Linked DNA regions of Arabidopsis thaliana. The main gene of each other region encodes a partner of the protein of the gene in region 2 in a complex. Each region holds a gene or a part of one and is shown on either strand. Other genes may lie near its edges.

What was found.
Region 1: rps4 (region 2) and PSRP3/2 share a complex: the UniProt entries of both Arabidopsis thaliana proteins name them as parts of the 30S ribosomal subunit.
Region 3: rps4 (region 2) and AT3G13120 share a complex: the UniProt entries of both Arabidopsis thaliana proteins name them as parts of the 30S ribosomal subunit.
Region 4: rps4 (region 2) and EMB3137 share a complex: the UniProt entries of both Arabidopsis thaliana proteins name them as parts of the 30S ribosomal subunit.

The regions. Positions count from the first base shown.
Region 1 is NC_003076.8:5,140,986-5,145,125, forward strand, and holds PSRP3/2 (Ribosomal protein PSRP-3/Ycf65), read left to right. Parts: upstream 1-2,004; 5' UTR 2,005-2,114; coding exon 2,115-2,381; intron 2,382-2,635; coding exon 2,636-2,920; 3' UTR 2,921-3,107; coding exon of another isoform or gene 3,108-3,557; 3' UTR 3,558-3,621; downstream 3,622-4,140. Other genes in the region: AT5G15750 (Alpha-L RNA-binding motif/Ribosomal protein S4 family protein), read left to right, coding at 464-597, 719-826, 1,306-1,380, 1,485-1,716; GNA1 (glucose-6-phosphate acetyltransferase 1), read right to left, coding at 3,108-3,557; AT5G15780 (Pollen Ole e 1 allergen and extensin family protein), read right to left, coding at 3,913-4,140. UniProt on the Arabidopsis thaliana protein: Component of the chloroplast ribosome (chloro-ribosome), a dedicated translation machinery responsible for the synthesis of chloroplast genome-encoded proteins, including proteins of the transcription and translation machinery and components of the photosynthetic apparatus.
Region 2 is NC_000932.1:44,663-47,383, forward strand, and holds rps4 (ribosomal protein S4), read right to left. Parts: upstream 1,167-2,721; coding exon 561-1,166; downstream 1-560. UniProt on the Arabidopsis thaliana protein: One of the primary rRNA binding proteins, it binds directly to 16S rRNA where it nucleates assembly of the body of the 30S subunit. With S5 and S12 plays an important role in translational accuracy.
Region 3 is NC_003074.8:4,218,745-4,223,462, forward strand, and holds AT3G13120 (Ribosomal protein S10p/S20e family protein), read right to left. Parts: upstream 2,904-4,718; 5' UTR 2,783-2,903; coding exon 2,558-2,782; intron 2,406-2,557; coding exon 2,367-2,405; intron 1,878-2,366; coding exon 1,566-1,877; 3' UTR 1,545-1,565; exon of another isoform or gene 1,529-1,544; intron 1,357-1,528; 3' UTR 566-1,356; downstream 1-565. Other genes in the region: AT3G13130 (uncharacterized protein), read left to right, coding at 4,264-4,718.
Region 4 is NC_003076.8:4,616,718-4,620,659, forward strand, and holds EMB3137 (Ribosomal protein S13/S18 family), read right to left. Parts: upstream 2,265-3,942; 5' UTR 2,056-2,264; coding exon 1,939-2,055; intron 1,742-1,938; coding exon 1,517-1,741; coding exon of another isoform or gene 1,472-1,516; exon of another isoform or gene 1,290-1,471; coding exon 1,122-1,289; 3' UTR 706-1,121; downstream 1-705. Other genes in the region: CXE16 (carboxyesterase 16), read left to right, coding at 165-705; AT5G14330 (uncharacterized protein), read right to left, coding at 3,230-3,503, 3,722-3,834. UniProt on the Arabidopsis thaliana protein: Located at the top of the head of the 30S subunit, it contacts several helices of the 16S rRNA.

The DNA.
Region 1 (4,140 bases), on a different chromosome or scaffold from region 2:
CATAATTAAGGTAAAATCTACATGGGCTTCTCAGGCCCATAATGAGAAGTTTAAAAGGCTCAACTCAACAAGATTTAGTTATGCTAAGGCCTTACAAGTTACAATCAAACAGAGGATAGGGACCGTCGGATTTATCTGACTTCCTCTCCTTCGATTAGGGTTTCTGAATTACTACTCCTCTGCCAATTAGGGTTTAAGCCTCTCCAGCATTTTCTTTCAGCTCAAACCCAAGAACCTCATCGCCGATTATTTCTTCATCCTTACTCTATCCCGCGCCGATTAATCTCTCTCAGGTAAACTACTTCAATTTTACTCATAGACTAATTGTACAGAGATTGATAAATCCTATGTTGTTCCCATTAGAATGTTCAAGGGTTTATGATTATTCAGGATTTCAAATCTGAATTATTGGACAAATAAACCCTAATTTCGTATAATTTGCATATCATCAGTACCGTCCGAGATGAGAAAGCTCAAGTATCACGAGAAGAAGCTTATAAAGAAAGTAAATTTCTTAGAATGGAAAAGAGAAGGTAACCATCGGGAAAACGAGATTACGTATCGATACCACATGGGCTCTCGTGATGATTACAAAAAGTTGGTACCTTTATTTGCTCTTAAAGCTCTGTTCTACTTATTCTTCTTCTTCTGGTTCGAGTGTTTTGTGATGAACAATGGTCTTTTTCTGATTCTTGAGAATGTTTTTTCTTTTGGGCAGGTATTCAGGATTGTGTAGGATGGTGCAGAAACTGACGAATATAATGAAACAAATGGATCCAGCAGATCCTTTTCGTATTCAGATGACTGATATGCTTTTGGAGAAGCTGTGAGTTTTTTAAATATATATACCAGTTTGTTCAAGTATAGAGCTTATTACAAGCAATGGTTCTTTGTTTTCTCTAGATTTAGGTCGTAGAACATGAGACTTGATCATTTTCTGCAGTTTTTTACACCGATCTTATCTTAGAGACCTCCTGTTGTTTTTCTTGTTAACCACTTTTAGAGATAATTAAAATTGGGGGTCCTTATGCTTCTATATAGATTTTAGGACCGTTGGTTTGAAATCCATTAGAGGTTGAATTCATCCTGGTAAAATGTGTGATCTAATGGGTTTCTTTCAGAATCTGTTTCTTGAATAGCTTCTACATAGAGCTAAGTTACTATATAATATAGGCTTATTGTATAGGGAAAAAGAGCCATCCTACTGAAACTTGTTGATTGCGTAGTTCCACTCTGCAATGAGAAAACTTGTTCTCTTAATGGCTGACTGACTTGTGTTTCTTACATGTACGCTTGAAACGGCAGATATAACATGGGTGTTATACCGACTAGGAAAAGCTTGACTCTAACTGAGCGGTTATCAGTTTCATCCTTCTGTAGGTAAGAGTATATGCAAGAGCCTATATAGGCAGTTACTTAAACCCTTGATAGCCAAATGTTCTCATTTCGTTTGCCTCATATCGGTTCTTTTTTTTTATTTGCAGGCGTAGGCTATCTACTGTGCTGGTTCACCTGAAGTTTGCAGAGCACCACAAAGAAGCTGTGACATACATAGAGCAAGGACACGTTCGTGTAGGACCAGAAACAATTACTGATCCAGCTTTCTTAGTAACTCGGAACATGGAAGATTTCATCACTTGGGTTGATTCATCCAAGATTAAACGAAAGGTTCTTGAGTACAATGACACATTGGATGATTATGACATGCTTGCTTAGCTTTGAGGAAGTTAAAAAAGACTGATGTTTTGTAAAAGCCAAAAAAGGTTCACTGCTACTACTATTGCAGGGTTTGTTTGGATTTTTGAATATGCAAATGTGCTACTATTCCCTTGTCTTTAATCTTACTTTCGATCTATTTGCAAGAAGAAACTTGAAAACAAATGTCATGAAAATATTGAATCTAACTCATATTATCGTCAAATTGTATAAGTTGGAGCCACAGAAATGGATGAACATAAAATATTAAATCTAATTATTATTTGACACTTCAAATTACAAAACCCGTTTGATTCGATCCGACCCGACCCGACCAGAAAATCGCAAAACCTGTGTTTTTGCTTTCCCCGGTCTCTCAAAATAAAATTGCTCGCTTAGAAGCTTCAAACGCAGCTGAAATGGCGGTTCAAGCAAATCAGAGTGCTTCTTTTGGGTTCAGAACAGCTTCACCTTCTCAGAAGCTCTCTTCGAAACCCATAGCTCATATCTCTCTATCGACGAAGCTCAAACCCTCTTCTCGACCATCGCTTTCGTGCTCTACTTGGAATCAGGGTCAAATTCCGGCGAGACACTCCTGTATCAATCCCGGAATATTCGCATATCCCCCCTCCAATCTTACCTTCTCTCATGAACTACCAGAATCTGAATCTCCGCCACTTGGAAAGGTCAGTCATCGTCAAAAAACTTCTCTTGGAACAAATTGGGGTTATAAGCTTGTTAGACAAAGTTGCAGCCTTTTTTTGTCATTTGAACGAAAATGTGGTAAACCAAATGTATTGTCTCCATCTATTTAATTGTGGTAGAAGAGGCAGTGTGTGCTAGTGTTAAACCTCCCTTATGTTGCTTCATTGTGAAAACTTTTGTGAAAGGAAGTAGAGATGTATGATTCTTCCCTTGTTATCGTCATCTTATATTGCAGAAGAAGATGCGTGTGTTAGTGAAGCCGCTAGAGAAACCAAAGGTGGTACTGAAGTTTGTATGGATGCAAAAGGACATAGGAGTTGCATTAGACCATATGATTCCAGGATTTGGAACAATCCCACTTAGTCCATACTACTTCTGGCCTAGGAAAGATGCTTGGGAAGAGCTCAAAACTTTGTTAGAGAGCAAGCCTTGGATCTCTGAGCTTCATCGTGTCTTCCTCCTTAACCAAGCTACAGACATCATCAATCTTTGGCAATCAAGCGGTGGAGATTTGTCTTGATTTGGATTCACCAGATATATCTGTTTATCATAGGTATCATTAACTTTTCAAAGTCTAAAGCTTTTGTGTTGTTTAGTCTATCATTAGTCCTCTGTGTAATCATCGAAACTCGAAAAAACTTCTATCATTAAAATGGCGAATTCAAAACAAGAAAACAAAAGATCATCATCATCATCATGATGAACGTTTAATCGAAGTACTTAGACATTTGAATCGATTTATTACTCATCCCACATTTCTCATAGAACACTTTGTTCTCCACACTACAATCTAGAATCACCTTATAGCAACCCATTGATTTGCAATGATCCATAAGAAACTCAACAACTTTCTTCCCCAGCTGTTTCCCGCGAAACCTTGAATCCACAACAACGTCTTCAATGTGCCCAGCTTTACCGCAATTCCTCAGAAACTTCTTCTCTATCATCACACTACCCGTAGCAGCGATTTTTCCCGAAGTTTCTTCTTCGATCACGCAGATCACGTGGTCGTCACCATACGATCTGATTTCTTCGAATCGCCGATCGAATTCTTCGTCTGTTACTGATCCGGTGACGGTTAGTTGACCTAGAAGCTCGATGAATCCTTTTCTCTTATCGGAGATCTCCAGTTTTCGGATCTTGAATGTCTCAGCCATAGAATCAGATCGGATAATTTTGAATTTGAGTTTTTTTTTATAAGATCCAGTCACTCACTGGAACTGAATATAATCACCCATAGAAAAACAAATGTGATAATTACGAAAAGGTACTTATTCTTTTAGATAGTTACAAAAAGTTTCCGAATCTCTTAATGAAGTCAAAATGGGCCATTTGTTTTTTAAATTGACTTTTGATGTAACAAAAGCAGCAAGATAAAAACTCCATAGTAAACAATATTTATTGAAATGACAACAAGCCAACAAGTGAAAATGCAGAGGAAAAAAGTAACAATTTAAAGCGGATGATACATATAGATTACATAATTGGAAATGTAAGGAAAGGATTGCTAATTTAGGGTTGATGGTGACTAGAAAAGGAAGGTGAAAGAGGAGGGATTCCCGGGATGAGAGGGGCCGGAGGGATTCCAGGGATAAGAGGGACCGGAGGGATGCCAGGGAGTCCAGGGACCGGAGGGAGCGGAACAGGGAAAGAAGGTGGTGGTGGCGGTAGTGAAGGCGGATTCACGATAGGGACAGGTGGAAGAACCGGAAGAGGTGGAAGAGTCGGAATTGTTGGAAT
Region 2 (2,721 bases):
CAAAGGAATTGTATAGTACGAACTAACATAAAAGCGGACTCATTAAAAAAAACCTTCTATCTACTTCCAAATTTTCCGGTCAAAAAGGGTATCTATTAACCATAATCTAAAAAACGATGAATAACTCGCTATTCACCCAGATACTCAGTCATAATCTTGATGTCGGAGAGATGGCCGAGTGGTTGAAGGCGTAACATTGGAACTGTTATGTAGACTTTTGTTTACCGAGGGTTCGAATCCCTCTCTTTCCGTACTTTCAACAAATTCACCAATCTTACGTGATTGACCACAATGTATCAAATCCAATAAAAAAGAATCGATATAAGATCTACCTTGTTTTGATTTTGAAATAGATTCTCTATTCCTAATTTCTTTCATATGGAAAATGCTGGGAAGAGCAAACAAGGGATCCCAATCTCCCTACCAATCTATGATACATGAATAGGAAAAATATTCTTTGACAAAATCCCTTACCTTGTGCCTTTTTATTTTTAATGGAAAAGGGGAGTTGTCCGAACTCTTGTTTTTAGTAATTTTTTTTTTTACTTAAGTTAGGTTTATTAAGTCTGTCGAGAGTAATATTCTACGACAAGCAATTCATTTATTTTCAAACCGACGCATTTCCTATCTATTATTTGATTGACTAACCCTTCATATTGGAATGTGTGAAGAGTCAGATGGTTTGGCAATTCCTCAGGGGCAGATGAATCAAGAAGATTTTGAACCAAAGTTCTAGAGTTTTGTTCATCCTTCACTGTAATAATATCTCGGGGTTTGCAGCGATAACTTGGTATATCAACTATACGACCATTAACTAAAATATGTCCATGATTAACTAATTGGCGCGCTTGAGGAATAGTCAAAGCCATACCCAATCGAAAAAGGATGTTATCCAAACGCATTTCAAGTAATTGTAGTAAAACTTGACCTGTTGACCCCTTGGCTTTTCCGGCTATACGCACATATTTAAGTAATTGGTGTTCTGTAAGACCATAATGAAAACGCAATTTTTGTTTTTCTTCTAAACGAATACGATATTGAGATTTTTTTACGGAGCGTGATTGGTTTCTAAGATCGCTTCCTGCCTTAGGCCTTTTACTAGTTAGTCCCGGTAAAGCCCCCAGACGGCGTATTTTTTTAAAACGAGGCCCTCGGTAACGTGACATAAAGACTCCTTTTTTGATTGAAATTGTACAAAACTAAATAAAATTAAAACTGAACTAAATGATAATGATAAATGACGTGAAATACACTCCACTATTGGAATACAAAGAGTAAGAAGATATATTCTCTCAATATACAGATTTTTTTTATTGTATATACAATATATATAAATCAACTAAATCACAAAAATTTTCCTTTATTTTCTTGATTAATTTTGCAAAGATCAAACTCTTTTACCCAATATATATTCCTAATATGGAAGTTTATATGACATAATATAAATGGAGTGGTAACTCTTGGAAAAAGGTCAAAGAAGTCTTTTCAATCTTCTTTGATTTTGAAAGTACATTAAAAATCATGTAAAAAAAAACGAAAAAATATGGAAAAGCCGGCTATCGGAATCGAACCGATGACCATCGCATTACAAATGCGATGCTCTAACCTCTGAGCTAAGCGGGCTCAAATAAAATAGCGCATGCATACAAATTCACTAAACTACTAGATCGTATCAATTAACTATTCTATTAATATTTTTCCTTATCTAGTTAGAATTAATGATATTCTATATATTCTAGAACAGAATATAGCTCACATAAATAGTGACTATCATTCATCATTAAATAAATAAAACATAACCTTAATTCTATATATATATCTATATAGTCATAGAATAGTATAGAATTATTAGAATTTCAAATTTACGAAGTAGACTTATAATTTTTTTCCATTGCACATTGTAGAATTCTAAGTTTCAATAATAATAATAATAAATTTCTTTTCATGAAAGTAAAAAAAAAAAAAAGAATCGACCGTTCGACTATTTCTGAAAATTTAAGCCAAAGATGAAAAAAAAAAGAACATATATATGTTATGTAATATATAACCATATTGAATTGCAAATACAAAAATGATAGAATCTTTGTTGATTAGACTAAATCAATATGGATGGAGCTCAAAAAAATAAAAGAAGATAACAAAGACATAAAATAAGTATCTATAATGTAATGAATCCCGAGGTTTCGGCATAAGAAAAAAAAGGAAAGACATCATAATGAGATCCTAAAAAAGGGGATATGGCGGAATTGGTAGACGCTACGGACTTAATTGGATTGAGCCTTGGTATGGAAACCTACTAAGTGATAACTTTCAAATTCAGAGAAACCCTGGAATTAACAATGGGCAATCCTGAGCCAAATCCTGGTTTACGCGAACAAACCGGAGTTTACAAAGCGCGAAAAAAGGGATAGGTGCAGAGACTCAATGGAAGCTGTTCTAACAAATGGAGTTCACTACCTTGTGTTCATAAAGGAATCCTTCGATCGAAACTTCAAATCAAAAAGGATGAAGGATAAAAACCTATATTGTATAAATTTAGGTAACACAAAACGATCTCAAAAATGACGACCTGAATCTCGATTTCTATTTTTTTATAAACAAAATCAAAATGTTGTGAATCAATTCGAAGTTTAAGAAATAATATTTCTTGATTAAAATAAAATTATTCACTTCATAGTCTGATAGATCCTTGATGGAACTTAATTAATCGGACGAGAATAA
Region 3 (4,718 bases), on a different chromosome or scaffold from region 2:
TCTGATATGAGGATACCATAATCACGAATAATGAATCACAGCTAAACTTTTATTAAAGTTAGAGAAAATAGTGACTCATAAGACATAGTATACTAGTTCATATCAGTGTTATTATCACCTTACATATTTGATCCAATATGAGTGTTTTGGTATATCAATATGAACCAGAGTTTAACCATTTGGTTGAACGCAAAATAGTTTTGAATATGTTTATGCAAATTGCAATAAACCCAAAATGGTAGTAAAAGAAAATACAACCCATAATGGTACTACTTGAAAGTTTATCATAAAACCGATCTCGTAAAATATAAGATTATGGAAGCAGAAATTATGTATGATTTCAGTAATGCTGTGAAAAAAAAAAGCAATTTATTCGAGTGTTTTTGAGAACAAACTATAATCAAAATAAATAATAATGGACGGTCCATGTTGGTATATCGTGGGAATATGCCTTAACTTTAACGACTATTATAAACCGCCACATCATTGTCTCATCTACTTAAACCAAATTCAATTTTGGCGACTATTCGTTTTCTTTCTTCTTTGGTCAAGACATTATCTTACAATGAACCACTTCTTACTATACCAAAAACCATTTCATATGATTAAAATAATGATATAGTTGTGTGTATGATTGAACATGGAAAAGAATATTCTTCAACTTTATAATATTGGGGGGTTGACAATTTCTGCATCATCCAAAATTCCAAATTAGATAAGAAAAAGCGCCATCGACTTATCAGACATAAATTCGAAACCATTACTGTTTTTTCCCTTGGATCGTTTCGTAAGCTTGGAAAGGAAAGACTGGTAAAACAACACTTGCAGGTTTTAATTGGCTGCTAAGAAAAGAGACGAACTGAGTCTAGAGGATAATTGATAAATGAAATGTGTTGTGACAAAAAATTATAATTTCCCTATTGAGTTTGTGGATAAACGAACTTATACGTTTATTATAATAATGAAGTCGCTTTCAAGATTCCAACCTCCTGGTTTTAAAATAACTCAAGTTGTGCATCTTCTTATTCCTACTATAATACTACTATAATACTTATATTCAAAAAAAAGATTCCACTTTGAATACAACAAAAATAAAAAAACTTATCATAATGGACACAGGCAAACTGCATAACAATTAGTAAAACAAAAACAAATTCCTTTGAACTTGCTTAATTAAGGATATGTTCATCAACTAAGAACCAAGCATCGCTAAAGATAGATTCCAAGGACCAGATAATACAACTTACATTTTCGTTACAAAGGTTCTCAAAAAAGATGATACAAGGCTTACCAGTTCTAAGCAATGTAGTTGATCTGAAACAGTCTGTTCATTCAATGCAAAAGTGCCCATCACATCTGAGGAAGAAAAAACACTTTGGTTAAGAACAAGCATCAAGATCTTGATGGTCAACAGAGAAAGATTGTAATTTGATGAAGTTTTGTTTTTGAGGATAAATATTGGAGCCTATGTGCAGTTTCAGTAGCTAAGACACATCAATATTCAAAAACCATTAAGAAGAGAGATCACTTTTTTTGTTTGTTACCATTGTAGTTACGCTTCTTCTTCAGAGCTTCACTTCCACATCGACACCAGCAGGAAGATCAAGTTGCATCAAAGAATCGATAGTTTGAGCAGTCGGGTAGAGAATATCAATCATGCGCTGGTGTGTCCGGATTTCAAAATGGAACCTAGCATCCTTGTGAACGTGAGGAGACTTGAGAACACAGTAGATACGCTTCTTGGTTGGCAATGGAACAGGACCCATCGTCTTTGCATTGGTGTTTCTCGCAGCATCAAGTATCTGCTTGCATGAGTCCTCAATAAGAGGCACCCAGTATGATCTAAGCTTGATCCTAATCTTTTGCTTTGGCGCCATCTGATAACACAAAAATAAATCAAATTAAACCAAACACAATGAAACTCCACAAGACCCCTTAAAACAAAACTCTATTGTGGCAAATCTTATGAAGATACCATCTAAAGACGATCAAGATTTCTATACAATTACTTCTCCTTTCCTGTATATACAAGATGATATCTACTTGAAGGCATTTCACACAAATGAGACTCTTTATCGCTCTGAAAAAACGTAGTAAACCAAAGAAGTCTATTGATCTGACAAAGATAGACATTGAAGACATCAAATTTGAAAATTTGCGTATCAATTTCTAGCAGTGACCTCTAACACAGCAATGGGCATTGGTGTTAGAACAGATATGATACTTTTTAGCGCTGTGAAAACGTAGTAAAGCAAAAAAGTCTACTGTTTTGACGAAGATGGACACAGAATTTAGAACACACCAATGCACAAGTACTCGTAAAATCTGTATTCTAGTAAGTGAGCTGTAACAGTAACGGAATATACCTTATCCGCGTCTACACTGATGGATGAAGAGCTCGGAACCTGAATCACACAGACACAAAGACTATTATTAACAGAATTAACATCAAAGTGCTAAATGATTCTGCAAAACAATGTCTTTCCCCCCCCCCCCCCAAATTTCGCATTAGCTCTGCAAACAATCGAATCCGAGACTGACAGAGGAAAGAGTGTACCTCAGAGGCGGGTTCATCGAGAATTTCTGGAGTTGGATCTAGGGTATCGGGAACAGCGAAGACCTTCGTAAGCGAGACGGATGGTTTCGTAAGGACGCAGGAACTAAGGCCGCCATGGGTAGAAGATGAAGGCAGCAGAGAGACTTTGAGTCTGGTAGAAGAAGGCGAAGAGCTTGGAATGCCGAAAGATGGCAATAGAAACGACGATACAGTAGAAACCGCCATTGAATTTTCCCAAAACCACGAATCGATTTCTCTTATTCTTCTTCCTCTTAACGTTCGAAGGATGAGGTTTCTTCTTCAGCAGCTTCTTCTTGAGGGTTATCCATTTTATCCAAAACCTTTTTCTCTCTTTTTTAAATGATGAGATATTATTTATTCTAAGCCCATTAATTCATTAAAAGGCCTACGCTTATTATAAATGAATACCCATTAGGCCCAAATTGTATAGTTTCTGTTAGGGACCAAAAGTACCCATTAGGCCCATATTTTATAGTTCTTTTGGGGACCAAAAATATTCTAACCTAGTAAAATATGATTCATTTGTCTTTCGGTATTTTCTTTCTTGTGGATTGTGATCTGTCTTTAGAAGATTCTTTTGTATCTCATAAATATCTTTTGGAAAATTCAACACACAAACATTCGTGAAGTAGATGGAAAATTTAAGAAAAGTGGAAGACAAAATGAACTACTTGACAAACAAAACCCCATGAAAATATGCAATGAATGTGGAAAAAAATGGACAATATAAATATTCGATGAAATAATACAAACTCATAAAATAATATTAATTTGAATACAAAAGACAATAATATCAAGGAAGGATTCCGTAGTTTTGATTTTTGACTTTTAAATGCATTGTTCTTAATTTTATCTGTAATTGTGTGATCCATAATCTGTAAATATATACCTTCAAATGTGTGATCCATAATCTCACACGGAAATATAAGGTGTTAGCGTAGTTCAAGTATAATTTTTTTTTAATAAAAGCAAAATACATGTAGAAGAAGCCTAACAATTAACATAATGATGTCGCCAAATCCATGCAATTTAAAGAAGGAAAATGACTTAAACCAATCAAAGACATAAAAGACAATGACATCTTCTAAATATTATTGTCCACAAGCCCTCACACTATTCAAAGACCAATCATCCCTTACTATTCCGTTTGTATTTGTCTCAATCATGAGTATTTTTTTTTATATATATCATCAAGCTATACATGACTTAAAAGTCATATTCCTTTACCATTAACATACCATAAAAGCTAAGTCATCATGTATAGCTTGATGATATAAAAAGAAAAAAAATCCGAATTCCATCAGAGGTCATAAAAGATTCGGAACTTTTGGAACACTAACCAGAGGTCGTTTCGCAATGTAACCAATAATAGGACATAAGAAAACATGGATTAGTTGACAAACAAACAATAGAAGAAACACAGAGACTTTTTTTTATCCACATAACTGGGAAATCACACTTCACACGTGGCATGCAGCCATGCAGCTTCAGAACAAGGGGTGGTTTGGTAAAATCATCCACAGATGCCCATTGCCTTTGGCTTAAATTCTATAAATACCAAAGCCGTTGAGTGTAGTGTAACGCTTTGCACAATTACACTTTAACCTGTTTAATTCCTTCTTCTTCTTCTTCTTATTCTAGTCCTCACCATTCACTCACAAAACCAAAGAAAAGAAACCAGAGAGATGGATCAAATAAAACCGGAGTTTCTGAAGAAATTGACCAAGTTTATAGCAGTTTCGATGTGGATTTTATCTCTTTTAACCAGCCACGACTTCTATTTATATAGGTTCATGATCCAACTCGTAACACACGCAGTAGATAAAAACTACATGTTCCTCCTCTGCAATGGTCTCGTAGTGGTTGTTGCTAAGTGTTCTGGTTTGGTCGCTTCGTCCAAACCAATAGAGAAAATTTGGAGTAATACCGATAAAACCTTTGATTATGGAGATTTCGAGAGTTACACTACGATACTGGAGCTAGAGTATAAATCTGATCATGGAATAGGAACAGAGTCCTTTCTTGCAGAGGAAGTTACAGTGGAGGAAGATACAAAACATCAAGAAACCGAGGACAACGAAGAAGAAGATGACGACGACAACACATTAGCAGATAATGATGGAGAGGAAGAGTGTGGTCT
Region 4 (3,942 bases), on a different chromosome or scaffold from region 2:
AAGATCTTAAGAATAGTTTCATGTTGATCTAGGAGTAACTTGGTACAAAGTCAGGATTCTTTGGACAACTAGTTAGATGAACTAAGATAGCTTATCTTCCATTGATTGCAATCTCACATCAACTTCTGTGTCTCAACCTGTTGCTTCATATGATGTTAAAACAGATGTGTTCTTCTCGGGGTGAGCTGTGGTGGGAACATAGCAGACTATGTAGCTCGGAAAGCAGTGGAAGCTGGGAAACTTCTAGAACCGGTGAAAGTTGTTGCACAGGTTCTAATGTACCCCTTTTTCATTGGAAACAACCCAACACAGTCCGAAATAAAGCTGGCAAACTCTTACTTCTACGATAAGCCTGTCTCTGTTCTAGCCTGGAAACTCTTCTTACCAGAGAAAGAGTTCGACTTTGACCACCCGGCAGCAAACCCACTTGCCCATAACCGCAGTGGACCACCTCTGAAGCTAATGCCTCCAACACTTACAGTAGTAGCTGAGCATGACTGGATGAGAGACCGAGCCATTGCTTATTCAGAAGAGCTTAGAAAGGTAAACGTAGATTCTCCAGTTTTAGAATACAAAGACGCAGTTCATGAGTTTGCTACACTTGATATGCTTCTCAAGACTCCTCAGGCACAGGCCTGCGCCGAAGATATTGCCATTTGGGTCAAGAAATACATTTCACTCCGCGGCCATGAGTTCTCTTACTGAAAATTTTTACCCTGTTATTATTCATTTTCTTCCTTTTTTTTGTGTGATAGCAAGATTTTCTGGGTAGGATTAGAGACAATCCAAGATCGAGTCTTTTGGCAAAAGCTATAAAATTTTATTTTTTGGTTACTTATGTATTCATATGTACGTATTCTGAATAAACCATTTTTGGTTCGACCAAATTTTCAAGTTTGTTCTTGGTTTGTCATCATTCTTGAATGCTGAAATCTTCAACTTCTTTTGTAACTTTATAATGAATGATGAAGATACGGAATAATAATAGCTAAAAAGCCGAAGATAAACTGGAAAGGGCTCAGTTCGAACAAAGGTTTGGGAATTACAAATCACATTTAAACAGAGATGACTAGACAAACTAAAAAGAGTATTACAGAAGAAGAAGGAGATCATGAAGATGATTACTTGGAAACTTTCTTCTTCCCTGCAATAGCAATTTTCTTGCCTTTAAGAGTCCTGCAGTTGTTCTTGGTTCTCTGTCCCCGACATGGCAGCCCTTGGATGTGCCTTACCCCACGGTAACACTGGATCTCCTTCAACCTCTTGATTGCAAGAGCATTGAACCTCCTCTGCACAACATCCACAACACAAATCAATAATTCATTCACAAAGGCCTAAGAACCAAATCAAAACAAGAGGAAACCCAAACTAAAGCAATGAAAACACCAAATAGATAGCAGCCTAAGTTCTTCTCCAATCTTCAAGAAACTGCTCGAGAATGGACTGACAGAAACTGAAACTATGATGCACATTACTCATGTCCTAAAGTGTGTAAATGTAAGGGAAAGTGTATTACCAGATCACCCTCAATCATGTACTTGGAGACTTCATCACGAAGAATGATGAGTTCTTCCTCAGCCATGTCTTTAGTAATCTTGTTCTCCATCTGAAGATCAACAAGAATCTGACGAGCCCTAGTTCGACCAATCCCATGAATGTACTGAAGAGAGTACTCAATTCTCTTATTAGCCGGAATCTCCACTCCACCAACACGAGCACATCTGATGCTTAGACTCTGCTTCTGCATTTCATTACAAAAAAAAAAAAAAACTTTAAAAACACAGAGACAAATTCCCCCAAAAATTGATGGAGTGTTCTATAACCACCCCTAACCCAAAAATTGACGAACAAGAATGAAGTAACACATAAAAAAACATGAAGTCAAGCTCGATAAATTACAACATCATACGCAAGAGAGAGTCCAAGAGAAATGATTACATTGGGAGTGTTTGAAGCTGGGAGGGCAAGAGTGTTGCGAGAGAGAGGATTGGATTTTGCCCAATTGCAAATGAGTGAGAGCGAGTGCGCTACGGGCATCGCAACCATCTGCGCCATTGTTATGTTCTCTTCCTAGGAATTTCGGATTCTGGGAAACTAATTCAGAGGTGACGAAGAAGAAGAAGAAGATGAGCTGAACGGATAAGGCAAACGTCGAATCCAAACGCTTCTCTTGTTTTTGCTCCGTCTCTACTTACTCTATTCAATTAATTGCTTACAAAACTGGCAAAATAAATACTTGTTGGGCTTTGTTTTTTGTTGAGATAGGCTCGCTATTGTATAACACGGCCCAACTAGTGGACTATAACAAAAATGCAAAAACCGAGTGGACTATAATAAAGTGATACAACTATAAAATGAAAAAAAAAATGATTTACAGATATTTTCTTAACAACTAAGATGAATGGTGTGATCAATGACACACATTTGATCAGAAGACGAAAGGCATGAGCCTTGGCTCCATGTGGGCACGTAGCTATTGAGGATAGAGTCATGATAGAAAAAGATTGTATAAAAAAAATGGTAAGTGTATAGATGAAAAGTCAACGGATGAGAATGAGTCTTGTTAACTATTTATCGAGATGGTCGTTCACTTCGTTATTGTCACATGTTGTTGTATTTTAAGGTGTTTGGGGATTTTTTCCATCTTGCATATATATCTGATTCATTGGAGTTGTACACTTGTACTCATGGTTTTGTTGGCAAGTTTACTACAATATTTCGAGTGTTTTCATGATGTTTATTGTTTCGTACTTTACACATGAAACTAGTTTAAAGCTTGTCGTTCTTCTAATAAGGATATCACTCATTGATTTTGACACCAACGTCTGAATAGTGAATACACCATTATTTGTTGAGGCGTACCCATTACTGTCACGTAAGGCCTGCATTTCATTATTTTGTTTAGGCTGACCCAATTTATTTTATATATTTACTTCGGATATTTATCTATTCTATAACCTTAAGATGAATTAGTTGATTTTAAAAAGAAAGTCCACCTTTTCTCAAACGGGCCATTATAATGCCTTGATTAGAAGATTTGGTTCGAAAAAGAGGAAAATATGATTAAGATAATAAAAAAAACATCAAGAGATAAATGTTTTATTATGATAGGAACACAACATCACAATCTTTGAAGAATTAACAAAAAAAGAAGGAATACATGTGAAAATTAAAATAAAATCTCATAGAGAGTAAAACATATTCTGAAGATGAATGGCAACACATCTCATCAGAAGACGAAAGACATAGCAGCGACCAATGCGGTGGCGATGAGCTGAGGGTAGGCGGAGAAAGTGGCGGCACTTGGAGACGGAGCCTTAGCCATGGGTGGCATTGGAGCCATAGCCGGACCATGGTGGTGGGTTCCGTTGTGCGACTCAGCAGTCATGACCATCACGGCCAAGACAATGCAGATGAAGGCGAAGCGGATCAAAGAACTTCTTGGTGCCATTTGAATGTTCTTCTCCTTTTTCTTCTTATTTGGTTTCTTTCTTTGTTGTTCTCTGTATGATCTATCAACAAAGGGGGTCGAATTTATAGAGAGAGAGAGGGGTCCTATAAAAAATGTTTAGTGGGTTAAAAGTCAACGCATGTGAATGAGTCATGATGTTGAGACGACCTAAATTCGTTATAATTTACATGTTGTTTACTTGAATATTTAAAAAAATGGAAAAAAGGACAGAGTGATCATGGTTATGTGTTTGAATTTGTTAGTGGACACCCATTTATATGTTCGTGAATGTTCTGCCGTTCTGGAACAGCTGTTACATAAGAGGGACGTTTCTTGACTAAGCCAAATTGACCCGGTTTGATTAGGGATTGATTCCAATCCATGTTCTGTTGCCGGAGACCAAAGAAAATGGTGTCTTTTGTGAGGCCGATCAGGGGCTTTGGCTCTTGATGAAGTTCAAAAAGAATAGAAATGTTAGCGTTGGTGATAGT